2 linked regions of the Coturnix japonica genome follow. The main gene of each other region encodes a partner of the protein of the gene in region 2 in a complex. Links are inferred from orthologs where the notes say so. Each region holds a gene or a part of one and is shown on either strand. Other genes may lie near its edges.

The links.
Region 1: the proteins of HCRTR2 (region 2) and HCRT are in contact, whole or in part, in a cryo-EM structure (PDB 7L1U), measured with the Homo sapiens proteins. The link is inferred for Coturnix japonica from reciprocal best matches to the Homo sapiens genes HCRTR2 and HCRT. Residues at the interface, in NP_001371201.1 of Homo sapiens: Thr111, Val114, Trp120, Pro131, Gln134, Thr135, Val138, Gln187, Val209, Cys210, Asp211, Phe227, Thr231, Ile320, Ser321, Asn324, Lys327, Arg328, Phe333, Ala334, Thr336, Arg339, Val342, Tyr343, Phe346, His350, Tyr354; in NP_001515.1 of Homo sapiens: Asn89, His90, Ala91, Ala92, Gly93, Ile94, Leu95, Thr96, Met97.

The regions. Positions count from the first base shown.
Region 1 is NC_029542.1:4,470,122-4,475,636, forward strand, and holds HCRT (orexin), read right to left. Parts: upstream 2,365-5,515; 5' UTR 1,939-2,364; coding exon 1,918-1,938; intron 1,494-1,917; coding exon 1,068-1,493; 3' UTR 938-1,067; downstream 1-937. Other genes in the region: GHDC (GH3 domain-containing protein), read right to left, coding at 3,154-3,339, 3,509-3,618, 5,192-5,267, 5,466-5,515. UniProt on the Homo sapiens protein: Neuropeptides that play a significant role in the regulation of food intake and sleep-wakefulness, possibly by coordinating the complex behavioral and physiologic responses of these complementary homeostatic functions.
Region 2 is NC_029518.1:80,005,101-80,012,839, forward strand, and holds the start of HCRTR2 (orexin receptor type 2), read right to left. Parts: upstream 4,214-7,739; 5' UTR 3,709-4,213; coding exon 3,480-3,708; intron 1-3,479. UniProt on the Homo sapiens protein: Nonselective, high-affinity receptor for both orexin-A and orexin-B neuropeptides. Triggers an increase in cytoplasmic Ca(2+) levels in response to orexin-A binding.

The sequences.
Region 1 (5,515 bases), on a different chromosome or scaffold from region 2:
TGGGGACTGACAGCCAGCACCGTGCAACAGCGAGGCTCTGGAGCTCCAAACCACATTGGTGGCCAGAATGCCATGTGCCACGGGTACAGGAGGCAAACACTGCTACGTGGCCATCCCAGGGCATCCCGCAGTGCCAGGGGTTCCCAGTGTAGTACCCAACACCCTGCTCCCATCCCTGGGGGGCTCCTGACCTGGCTGCAGCTGTCACACTGGGCACCGGGAATTTGGGGCTGGGGCAGAGTGGGTCCCTGCCCTCTGCACGGTGAGCCATGAGCTTCTCCCGCTCCCTCCTGGGGCAATCAGTGCAGGAAGGGCGCGGAGACCCCCGTCAGCCCCGGGAAGGTCTCCCGGGGACACCGACAAGGGGACGGGACACTCGCGGCCGGCTCGAGGGCTGCACGTCGCGGGGTAGATGAAGCCCGGCCGAGGGACAGACAGCTTGGGGTCCGCGACCCGCCCAGCCCAGGGGGCTTCGAAGTCATCCCGAGCAGCACCGCCTCCCTCTGCCCGCCCTCCGCCGCGGTCCCGGGACGCAGCCGTACGTGTGCCGTCAAACCGGGTGGCGATGGTGTCGAGGAAGGTGTTCTGCGGAGCCAGCAGACCCTTCATCACTGGCATCGTCCTTCCGGGCCGCCCACCCCGGGCTGCGGGACCGAGCACCGCCTCCCCAGGACCCCTCCGCAGGTGCTGCCCCCAACGGCGCGGGTAATCCCGGCTCGGCCCGGCCCGCCCTGGGCTCCGGCTCCGCCCCCAGCCCCGCCCAGGGCACCGGGGGGGTCTCGGCACCGACGGGCACCGGCAGCTGTTCGGCTGCGCGCGGCTCTGCCCCGGGACCCGCTCGGTACCGGCTGCAACGGCCCCCGGGAGGGGCGGGATCCATCCTCGGGCCGGGCAGCAGCACCACAGCCCTCCGGGCTCCTGCAGGGACGAGGCCGGCTGACATCAGGCTACCGTTTATTGTAAAAGGCCAAGTACGCCGAGCAGCCTTGGCCAGGGCCACAAGGAGGTATTTAGAAGTGCCATTGACACCGAGCCCCCCGCGGATCCCCCCCACCCCGCAGCCCATCTCAGTAAAAGCTCTTTGCCGTTCCCCAGCCCTTGGTCAGGTCCTTCTCCGCGTGCTCCTGGCACTCGCTGGGGCTGCCCGCAGTTCCCCTCGGGGTCGCCGCCTGCTGAGCGCCCGCTGCGCAGCTCAGCGCATCGCGGCAGGCGGCGTCGGGGCGCTCCTCGCGTTTGCCCATGGTGAGGATGCCCGCCGCGTGGTTGCTGGAGCCGTGCAGCAGGCGGTACAGCCGGCTCTGGAAGGCTGTCGGGATGCTCTTCCTCTTGCCCAGCGTGAGGATGCCGGCGGCGTGGTTGCCCATGCCGTGCAGGAGGTCGTAGATACGGCAGGAGCAGGTTTTCTGCCGGCAGCACTCGGGCAGACTCTGCCGGGCCCTGGCCAGGGAGCAGAGCAGCAGCAGCAGCAGCAGGAGGCAGGCGGATCGCTGCAGCTGCACGAGAACGGCCGCGTTGGTGCAGGGCTCAGCCCCCACCCTGCAGGTTTCCTGCTCATCTCCGCTGCTGCAGCACCCACAGCATCACCCCCCTGGGGCACATCCAGGGACAGACGGGACCCCAAGGAGATTCGCTCCTGCCCCCAAAACCCAGCCTAAAAAGCACACTGTGAGCAGGAGTTGGCTGCAGGTATATTCACCGACACTTACCTGTGCTGACACAGCCAGCACCCTCCCGTCATCGCTGAGTGCTGCAGGAGGAACTGGGAGCACCCACACATGGCTCGTGCCAAAGCACGGTGCCGCATGCAGCGTGTGCCCCGCACCCACACAGGGCCGAGCCCCCCGACCTCTGCTCAAAAGGGAACCGGCCCAGCCCTTACAAAACCCCAGCAGTTCCTCTGCCCACCCCCAGCCCCACCTTGGCATTGGGCACCTCCATCCTTCTGGGTGTCTTCAGGTGGCCAAGCGGTGCTGGCTCATGTCCCGCTGGGGCTGAGGAGCGCGGCCGCCCCGAGCCGCACACCGGGGCTTTATAGGGGCGGCCCCTCCCGGCCCCCGGCCCCGCACAATAGCGCTGCCAAAAATACCGTCCGGTCTCCGGGAGATGCGCGCTCTTTGTTGTCGGTAGCTTGGAGACCGGTCAGGCCTTTCCCCTCATTTGTGGCTCTGTATTATGCGGGTGCGGCGCGGGACCGGGGTGCGCGGCACTAATGAAGCCATAATTACCCGAGGGACCCGCGGCCCCACAAAGCCGCGTGAAGGTCAGAGCCGGAGAAAGCGCCAACCGCTCCCAACAACGGCAGCTCTCAGGTCAGCTCCGCGTGGCCCCATTAGGCTAATTACCGCCCGAACAAAGGGGCGCCGGGCAGCCGCCGGCTGCGAACCGCGATGACGCGCGGGGACGGTGCAAATGGAACCGGCAGAAGGACGGTGCCCGCATCGCCACTGCCACCAGCACAGACAGGGACAGCAGCACACGCTGTGGGTCTCACACACTTTTATAAACAGAGCGCTCTGCAGCCCCAGACCACCCCTCACCCACCGCCCACACCTGCGGTGTGCTCCCCTGTGGGACAAGACCGGGATAAGTTCCCTGATGCCAGAGGACACAGCCCCCAGCAGCTCCGCTCTGCAGTGGTCCCACAGCCCCTGACCCATTGCCAGCTGTTCTACAGGTGCCTTCCCAGCCCCTCTGCACAGCAGGGGCTTGAGGATACCTGGGAAGACCCTGTGAGAAGGGACAGGGGTCGGTCAAGCCCCTTCCGGCCATGCAGGCTGTCTCCAGGGCCAGCAAAGGCAGAATCTGCAGCCCTGACAGCCGAAGCCCACAGCTGGGGCGGTTCTAATGGGGAGGGGGGTGGCACAGCAGGCTGGGGGTGCACGCACACAGCTGGGTGCCAGCAGCCCAACCCTCTGGCCCCACTGCACAGCACCCATTCTGGAAGCAGATGGAAGAGGCCTGGGAAGTCAGAGTGAACAGACAGGAGTGAGCCCCCCCCCAGTTCCCTGCAGTGCAGGCAAATGACTGTGCTGGCCCCACTTCAGCCCCTCAGCATCCTTCCTGCTCCCATCCCCAACTGTGCCACAGGTTCTCTAGTCCCTGTTCCTGCAGCAGTGGCTGCTCTGTGGGGGCTGCCTGAGCCCCAGACTGGGGTCAGCAGGACGCTGCATCACTGCCTCCTTCTGCCTCAGGGATGGGCTCCAGCGGCGCGCGCAGCCGGGAGGGCTCCGGCGAGGCCAAACCGTTCCTGCCGATGCCGCAGGACTGCCCAGCGTTGTGGATCTGCCAGAGGTTGTCCAACGCCTCCGCCTTGGCGTGCTTGAGAAGGTCAGCCTGGCCCTGCCGGGGGAAGAAAACATCAGGGGATCAAGGATGTACTGGGCACCGGCTCATCATGGACCACAACCAGCCTGTGCTTCTGGAGCATCTTTTGATGCTGGTCCCACCTCCCTGCACACCAGCAGGGTCAGCAGTGGGGGACAGGAGCACAGGAGCATGTTCCTCTCACCTTCAGGACGGTGATGTTCCAGGCAAAGCTCTCCAGTGCTTTCTGCAGCTTCCGTCCCCGCAGCCCCTCCTTGGCCTCGATGCGGTGCAGCTCCTTGTGGAAGTCCATACCTGGGCATGTGGCACATGGAGCCGTGCTCAGCACCACCGTGCGTGGGGACAGCCATTGCCACAGGGGATGGGGATGGGGATGGGGATGGGGTGTCTTTCACCCAACAGAGAACTTCACGGTCAGCCTCAGCAGCCCTGAGCCTCCTCCCCTTAGAGAATGATGTTCCAGCACAGCCCCCACCAACTTGCCCCCAGTCCTTGTTGGCTTTGGATCCCAAAGCCCATAGGATCAGGATGGGCTGCAGTGGCCCCAGGCAGAGGCATTGCCCCCCCATAACTGCAGCCCACCCAGAGGGGCTCAAAGAGGAGCTGTTGCCCCCTCCCCCCCCATTCTGGAGCGTGTGCCCCCACACTGTACCGCATGATGTCCTCGTGAGCGGGTGCTAAATTTACCCCTCCCTGACGCAGCACTGTCTCTGGGCCCACACGAGGGCTCCCACACACGCCTGCTCACCCACACACTGCCAATCAGCTCACACCCCCTCCCTGCACCCCCAGCCCTGCCGCCGGCACCCCCAGACCTCCCCACAGCGCCCATAATGCTGTGGCTCAGCCATGGCACCATGGAGTGAATGGAGGTCATGGCTGCAGGACCACAGTGTAGGGGTCAGCACATCCCAGACCTCTGCCCCCAAGGAGAACAAGGGACACAGGGCAGCGCTCATTTCTGCAGCACAGCAGAGGGCTCCCACAGCCAAAGTAGTGCAGGAGATGCAGAGCCCACCCCAGCCTGCACCCCCAGCCCCCTTGCCGTGCTCCACATCACTGACGATGTGGCGATGCATCCACAGAATAAACAGGGCTGCTGGCAGCAGCTGTCACGGGTCAGTGTGGCACAGCGTGGACACTCTCCTCCCCACCCCATACAGTGTCCGGCAGCCCTCCAGCCCCACGGGTTACCCCCACACAGCCCTGGGGCCAGCAGTGCTATGGAGCAGCCACAGCTGCCTCTACAGTACACAGGATCCTGGCGTTGCCCATTAGTGCCCACCAGGAGCACGGTGCTGGGAGTGGGGCAGCAGTGCTGGGCAGCATTGGGGCCCAGGGCCAGGTAAGGCTGCCAGCAGCACCTGCCTGTGTGGGTTCAGCCATGTGTCTTTTAAGTCATAACATTCAGTTGCCACTTCTACCGTCAGCCTCAGTCTGTTATTTCTGATGCTAATTATATTCTGGCGTTTGGCAGCTAATGACTCTTCTCCGCTTCCTCATCAACCTCCTCCGCTCTGTGCGCTCCCTCCCAGCCCCCCCCAGCCCCCCAGCCCCAGCAGCACTCCCTCACTGCAGGCTCTGGGCAGCTCCCTGCACCACTCACAGCACTGCCAGGACATGGGAAGGGTAAAGAGCTGAGCCCTGGGCTGACCCTACAAACTCTCTGGAGCCAGGCAGGCACCCACACCACTTGCACTCTGCCATACACTGCAGGTGTGCAATGCACAGACTGAAATGCCAGCACACTGCTGTGCACAGCTCCAGAGCCTGGTGCTGTTCTGAGCAGATCCCCATGGGGACAGTGTCCCCAGGCAGCTCAGAGGCACAGCACCCTGCACACAGCCCTCAGCACCCCCAGACCCACCTGCCTGCTGTGCCTGGATGAGCTTGCTGTGCACCACGTCAGCAGACTCGATCAGCGTCCGGCTGGTCTGGATCATCTGAGGAAAGAGGGGCAGTGAGAGGAGCTGCACAACCCTGAATCCTCCGTGCTCCCCACCCCCCCTGCCTGCAGAGCACCTCCCAGCCAGCCATCCCTGCTCCGGGATGGGACCCATCCTGGGACACCACAGTGCACAGAGCTGCAGGCAAACACCTTGGAGCAGGACAGACCCTGAGTACCCTGAGCTGGCACTTACCGTCTCATAGGCAGTGAGGACCTTGCGCAGCAGGTCGGGGATGGGGCCCT
Region 2 (7,739 bases):
CTGATGTCACTATAACATGGCAAAAGAGATTATTATAAAAGATGGAAAATAATAGAACTATCCAGAGAAGACTAGTTCTCTGTCAGTTAGGCAGGATTTAATTCTTAGGTGGAAAAAGAAACAAATATCACTATGTTTTGTGAATAAATAAGGTTTCTGAGTCCTCTGGATGATATTCTGCATGGTGTCCAATGCACAGAAGCCAGCAGTGCTGAAGAGCTTCATGCTGGGTGCTGGCAGGTTGCTCAGGCTCTCAGCCCTTGCCAGCAGTGAGAGTGCCAAGAGAGCCAGCAACCCGGCTGGCAGGACACTAGAAGGCTGCTTGTGTTGTGTCCTTTCCTTGAACACATCAAGTGATCTCTGCCGTACCATTTGGTTGTGATGAGTGCATGTTCCCTGAGGAAAAACATTTCATTAGAAAAGTTCTGACCTACTTGAATAAATACATTAAATGAGAACTATTCCCATTCTTTATCTGTGTAATTGCAGCTGAATTGGTGGGGCTGGACATTACTTATTTATCCCTTTTAGTCTTATTCCAGTTTTTAACCACTGCAACTACTTCATGAGGAATCTTTCTGCCCATAACCAGTGACCTCCATGCATACTAAGTATATCTTTCCTTCTTTAATTTCCCGCATTTCTATTTCAAGCACTTTTGTTTTAAATAGAGAAGAAGTAGACGATTAGTTCAAAGTCAACTGTTAAGAAGTACTTTGGTTTCCTCTAGCTTTGCAAAGAAGTTGTGATTTTGTTTCTGTGTAAGGGAATACTTTGGTCTTATATGAAAAACAGAAAGTCCTCATCCTCAGTGACTGTTCTGCTTCTACTGATAAACCATGCCTAAATGAAAAAGAAAACAGGACAAAACATACTGATGTTATCACCATGATTTCAGTTTATCTGAATGTCTCAAAACCTTCAAATCTGTTCCTTTTTAGTGGCTTCCAGTGAAATCACTGGTGAGCAGCTAGAGTGGGCACACACAAGAATTACTGATGTGAAGTACTTGAATGCTGTAATCAAACCTGCATTCAAACACAGAGGCTTGCAAACACCTTTCATTTTAGCTGGTTTGTGCAGCAGTTTGGACAGAGTGTGTCAACTCTCCTAATTAAACTGGAAGCAAAATAGCAATGCAGATCTTGCTGTATGCTACTATTAGCAGGACAATTCCTGCAGAGCAGATCAGCCCAAAGCTCAGTAAATGTCAATCAAAGTTCGAACTTTCTACCGTAGCTGTTAATTAAGTGTCAGAATGCTTAACTGTAGTTCATTACTAATACCTAAGGGTTGTGCTGTGCTTTCCACTTGCACAAATGTCATTCTGAGAGCACAGTGAGTGACCTCATTCTGTGTGAATGCACAATTGAAAATGATAACCATATATTAAGATTTTCAAGGGTCTTTCCAAAGTGCTAACTGTGTGAAATATGGACAAATGCAAGCAAAACTCTGACTTCTCATCTCACACTAGTCCAAATGCATTAGTCAAATCTAAGCAGAGGAATGTACTACATCATTAAGGATGATGTGATAAAGTGCTAAAACTTTACTGAAACACTGTTAGTCACTAAAACTGCATCTGGTTTACTTTGAGGAGATCCAAGATTAAATTACAGATTAACCTTAAGTAAGAACTTTTCATGCAGGAAATTTTTCTTCTTGGATACTTAAGAACACGAACCATTCTCAGATTTTCACTGCTGATCAAATAAACAAGGTTTCACAAAAATGTCTTTGGCAAGAGCACATCAGTTTCTCTCCTCAAAAACCAATGAACCTGCAATCAGCTTTCTTGCATAAAGATGAGACAGTGTTCAGCTAATGAGCACCTGCACCTGCAGATCCCAACAAGCTGGTAGTGAACAGTGGTAGCATTGTTGAAGGGTGAGATCTGTGTGATACACAAAGGCAAATGGCTTGGATAGAAGCAGTCCTGCCAAGGGAGAGGTGGGCGGACAGCTAAATGCCAGCTTTCACCCTAGGCACAAAGATAAGGTAGGCATGTCAAGGAGGAGAACCAATGATATTGTCTCTGTTTGCAAGTGAAAAGAGAGGAAATCTTTTCTTCTCGTGCTTCAGGGAGAAAAAAAAAAAAAGAAAAAAGAAAAAAAAGAAAAAGTGTAAACAGCTCCAATAGCCGAAGATTTGACCTTGAATATTGAAAGGCGAGAGGACAGCTTGTTTGCAGAATGGGTAGTGGGGGGCGGCTGAACACAGACAGTTCTAAAAGCTGTCCTCTTTCAGGATCAGACGGGAGGCACTTTTCATTCTAGTACAAAGCACAGGCTCTGTGCGAAGGCAGCTGTCTTTCACTGTGAGCGCAGAGCAGCTGACCAGCACACACGCTGTTACACAGCCTTTGTGGTGAAGGCTCCATGGGTTGGCCAAAGTACACTCTAGGTGTTTACCGGCAGCTCCAGACAAAAATAGCACCATCAGTCCATCGAAAAATAAAAAAGAGCCGTGAAAAACGTTGTCTTTGGCTGAAGCTTTATTTGCATCGTGCCTCGGGAAGCCTGGATCGCCGGCAGAGCGCATGACGTGCTGAAATTCATGAATGAAGGGCCCACATGGCAGGGCTGGGCGCTAGTGAGCCGCTCCGTTCATGAGAATGTCAGTGATGGGAATGAAAAATGCAAATGGCCGTGGCTCTGGTGGAGAGGATTTTCACGGCATACTCCGCTCCCTACGCGCACGTTCATTCACAAAGACGTTATTTATCGCTCTCAAAGCGTTCCGCGCGGCTCCGGATGGCGCAGGGACCCCCGCGGCCATCTCCCCCTCGCCGAGGCGAGGACGGCTGTCACGGCACGGTCACAGATCAGGCGGGGGACCAAGAGCAGCGCAGAGCCGCTGACCCCCGGCCCCCACACGGCCCCCGCCTGTCCCCGTCAGCGTTGCCCGGGGGAAGCGGCGAAGCCCCCCGCCGCCGCCTCCCACACGGGTACATGGGAGCGGGGAGGGGGGGGGTGAGCGGAGGGAAGGAGTCCGCCCCCGCCGCCGGGGCTGCGCAAGAGCCGCCAACTACCGGACCTGAGGGCGGACAGCCGCTCCGGCCCCTCGCTGCAGAGCGAGGTCCCGCGACCGCTCCCCAGCGTCTGTCAACCCGAGGCCGTTCCCCAGTGCCCGTCCGTTAGAAAACATTGTAGAAACGGTTGTAGAAACAGACAACCGCTGGAAAATGCCCGCGTTCTTGATTTCCAGCCCGGGGAACGAGGGGAACCGGCGGCCCCGGGAGGAATGAGAGGCGGGGCCGCAGCCGGGGCGCGTTGTTTCAGCACCTCATCTCGCGGACAGCGACGGAGCCCGCGGTGTCTCTACCCGGGCGGCCCCTCCGAGCTCCGAGCTCCGACCCGCCCCGGGGTCCGCAGCCCCCTCCCTGCAGCCCGGTTCTCCGCGGTTTGCAGCGGGGAGAGGCGAAATCTCCCCCGCGAGTGAAGGCAGGTTGGGCAAACTTCGGGAGCCAGACTCACCTAGCACGTTCCCGACGAGAGCCACGATGAACACGACGATGTATCCGGCTATTAGCGCCCATTCGTATTCCTTAGGATGCAAATACTCCTTCCAGAGGTAGCGCAGGAACTCCTCATCGTCGTAATCGGCGGATGGGGCTAAAAAGGGCTCCCGCGTTTCATTCAGCTCTGGAGAGGACGTCCAGTTCCTGCACGGAGGCGAAGCATCCTCGGGCTGAGTCCCGGACATCCCTGGTGGTGATCCGGGGGGCTGGAGGAACCCTCTCAGCGCTCCACAGCTCTCTCCCGCCCCTCCATTGAGACTTGTGATTGCCAGTGCCAAGCGGGGTGTGGGGAGAAAATGACGCGGGAACTTCGGGAACCAATGCGGGACCAGGCTGGGGCTTCGAGCCGGCCCCACACGCCCCGTTGCCTTTCCCCGGGCGGGCAGGGAGCGCAGCCTCAGCGGCCGAGGGGAAAGGCATCCAGACGGTTGCAATGCTCTCTTCTGAATCCACTGCTTCACTTTTCAGCTCTTCCGCGTTTGGACGTGAAAGAGCATCACCTCTAGGGGAAAGGACGTGAATTCGACGTGCTGCTGCAGAGGACACACAGGATAAAGGGAGCTATGAAAAACGAGACTTTCTTGTCTCTTTGTGAAAGTTGTGTGATGCTACTTCTAATGAATAAACTTAACACAGAGCCAGATGTTCATGAACACCTAGCTCTAGTGGGCACTGGCTAAAACAGATGAATGGGAAAATCTCAGTTGCTATAAGCACCATTTCCATTATGAAATGATACATCTCACTCAGTTCAGTATCTATCTGCACTTCCAGAGGAAAGTGACTCTGCTTTGACTGTACTTCCAACGCATAAACTTAAGAGAGAGCCAGATATTCATAAACACTACAGTGCTTAGCTCTAGACAGCGCTTTAGCTTCCTGAATCCTTCATAAGCGTACAGGATTCCCTAATGCCTTCAAAGTCTAATCCAGCATTCTTCTACCAGATGTTGCCTTTGGGCACACATTTTTATAAACCTGCTCTCTTTAATACAGCTTTCCTTCCATAAAATAAAGAAAAAAATCCCATTTCTATTCCACAGGGAAGTTACATGAACCTTTTAGGACAAAGATATTAAAAAATGAGATAAACTTGGATACAGAGGTAAGATCAACACCTCACACAAACTAGAAAGGTAGATACTGCAAACCTCATAAATAAAGATTATACACTCCTCAACTAATGAAAACAGCTGAGGTTCTATCAGTAAATGTATGAATATTGAAAAGACATTTAAGCTCTCTTGAGAATGTGGGAATGCAGGTTTACTTGTCACACAGAACGAGACACATTTAAGGAGTTTGTTGTGGTCTTTACAGCAGACAGAATATGGCCATTTGGTGATCTGTAGAAGGAAGCTATACACATTTTTCAGCTTGTTTCATACATTAAAAAGTTGACCCATACTACTGGCTCAGCAGTAGTAAGGAATTGAATAAAAAGACAAATATTAAGAAACAACATGGTTTAATGAAAAATAGATCCTAGAGCTCTTTTTTTTTTTTTTTTCCAACTAGATTGTAAGTGTGATTGATAAAGGCATAAATGATTGATTATACACATTTATAAGTTTAGCACAAATGTGCTATTCCTAGAGTGCTGTAAAACATTTACTCTTATTGGTTCAGTACATTCTGATCAAGTAGAATATATGGTAAAAAATCAATACGCCACACATTATAAAAGTTAAAAAGTGGCTAATAAACAGATTCCAGAATGAAACAGTGAACATAGAGCCATCACTGAGCTCATGTATTTCTGATGTCAGTGCTGGATTCTGTTGTTCTCATCAGTCAATGACCCTGCAGAAGCTGGCAAGTTATCCAAAAATTAGCGATAATCAGCTATGCACAAACACCATCACAATTCTGTAGGCAGAAAACTTTGTGTGATAACTGATGTATGCCTATAGAAAAAGATGAAGATACATAGAAATGTGAGAAGAAATCAACTGAGCTAGAATATGCTTCAGCCACAAAAATCTGGTACTGGGGAAGTACTTCTCAAAGTGAGTCATTTTAGCAGTATATTTGAAAATCAAGATGATTGAATGCTTTTCTAAAAGATAAGTGCCAGCTGAAATGGGAATTAATTCAGAAAAGTTGTCTGACCTGTAGTATGCAAGAGGTCAGACTGGATGATTAGAGTAGTCCCTTCCGGCTTTCTAATTTGTGGAAATGTGTTTGTAGAATAGATTAATTTGATGAATTTTACAGCTGATTTATCTTTTAATTATATTATTTATAACAAGACCAGTGCAAGAGTTTAAGTCTGTTAAGTCTGTTTCTTTCATATGCATGTGAACAATAAATGCTGAAAAGTAATTCTTATTTTGTTACCCTGTCCCCCCTTTTTTATTAACAATTTAAAATTCTGTAACTTGTGGTTTTAAAACTCCTACAAAGAATTTACAGGTTGTTCAGCACTTTAAAAAAATAAAAGGGGAAGGGGGGGGAGGGAGGGGAATAAATTCAGGTGTATCTCTATTAAAATGTTTATCTAATTGGAATACTCTCTAGTACTGCGTGTGCCCTGGTGGCACAGTGGTAGGAATGCCACTTGCAACACCGCAGGCCCAGGGTTCGAATCCCCCCTGTGGTGCAAGTGGTAGAAGTGCCGCTCTGCTACACAGGAGGCTCGAATCCCGGGGGTTGGACTCGATGATCTCTAAGGTCCCTTCCAACCCGCACGAGACTATGATACTATGATGATGATGTGATACTTTAGTTATCTGAATTCTTCACATACACTGATATCATTTCTAATCCATAATTTTCCATTAGTAATCCCCAAATACTGAAATTATCAGCTCTGAAAGATATGTCCTGTGGCTTTCAGTGCCACTTATTGTATGATATTAGATAATGTGAATATAGATCAAACACCACTCTATGCTTCATTGCATCTGATAGCTAAATGGATCTGGAGTCCACAGAGAACAAAATGACTGTGCTTCAGCATCCAAACTTAAAGGTTTGTCAAGCACATTTTCTCTCTTCATAGTAAACATTCTATTGCTGACTTATGATTTTATTAATTGCACAAATTGGCAGCAGTTTCTCCTGTGTTAAAGACTAGTCCTTTCATATTAAACTGATTTTATTCAGAGGATTAGTTTCATACTATTCTATTACTATATCATATTTAGAACCTTTTATCAAAGCACGGTGGCTTAAAGATCCAGACTTAGGTTAAGTGGAAGCTGAGCCTTAGGATCTCTTGGCTGAACACTTAACGTGTTTTCATTCTTGGGAAGCAAACCCATAAACATGTCTGCTGAAGAGAAATAGACTGTGGTATTGGCAGTAGTGATGAATTGTGTGAATATGTCCTTCCTTTCCATTTTTCTTTCGCTACTCTGATTTAACAACTTTTCTCTGCCTCCTTTCTTGCTGTTATGAAATATGCCACATGATTGCTCAATAGAAAAACAGTCTTACCATTTATTTGCTTGAGCAGTCCTGCTCAGTCATATGTCATGTTTTGTCTGTGAAATCCCTGTGGTATCTTTCCTCCTGTAATGTTATTTCAAGGTGGAACTACTGCTTCCCTGGCAGCAGCACTAAGAGTTCTTGAAATAATTTGGACTATCATCAGCTAAATATTGAGAAGAAGGGAAGATGCTAAATGGGTAAACAGGGAGAAGCTGAGAGCAAGTGAGAGAGACAGCTGTAAAAGACCAGGTTTGGAAACCTCTGCAACCATAAAATTCAGAGGGGTAATAAAGGTAATAACTACCAAAGAACCACTAAATAAAATAATAATAATGTAGGCTTGTGAAAACAATGGGATTAATCAGAAAACCTTATAAATAAGCATAATGATGTTCCATAATACAACACACTTATAGCACCACTTTTTCTTTAGGACCACCTTTTGTCTTATCATTAATTCATTAATCAACTGTAGGCTAAAAGAGCAAAATTAGTTTTAGCATGATAAATATTATTCAAATCTGCTACTAAATCTTTGGAACCACCGTTGATATAAAAGGTGTTCAGCAATTAGCCTTGTTTAGCCAACTTCAGGCATTTTTCTCTTTATGTATAGAAACCAGAACAGGATCCTGCTTTATGCAATTCAACAGCATGCAAAACTAAATTACCCAGATATATTAAGATTAGCAGCTAAGCCTATTGATTTATTAGCTCACTAGCACCATTACAATGAGTCAAATCCAGGGTGACTTTTTCTAATTCTAGCAATGATCAGATA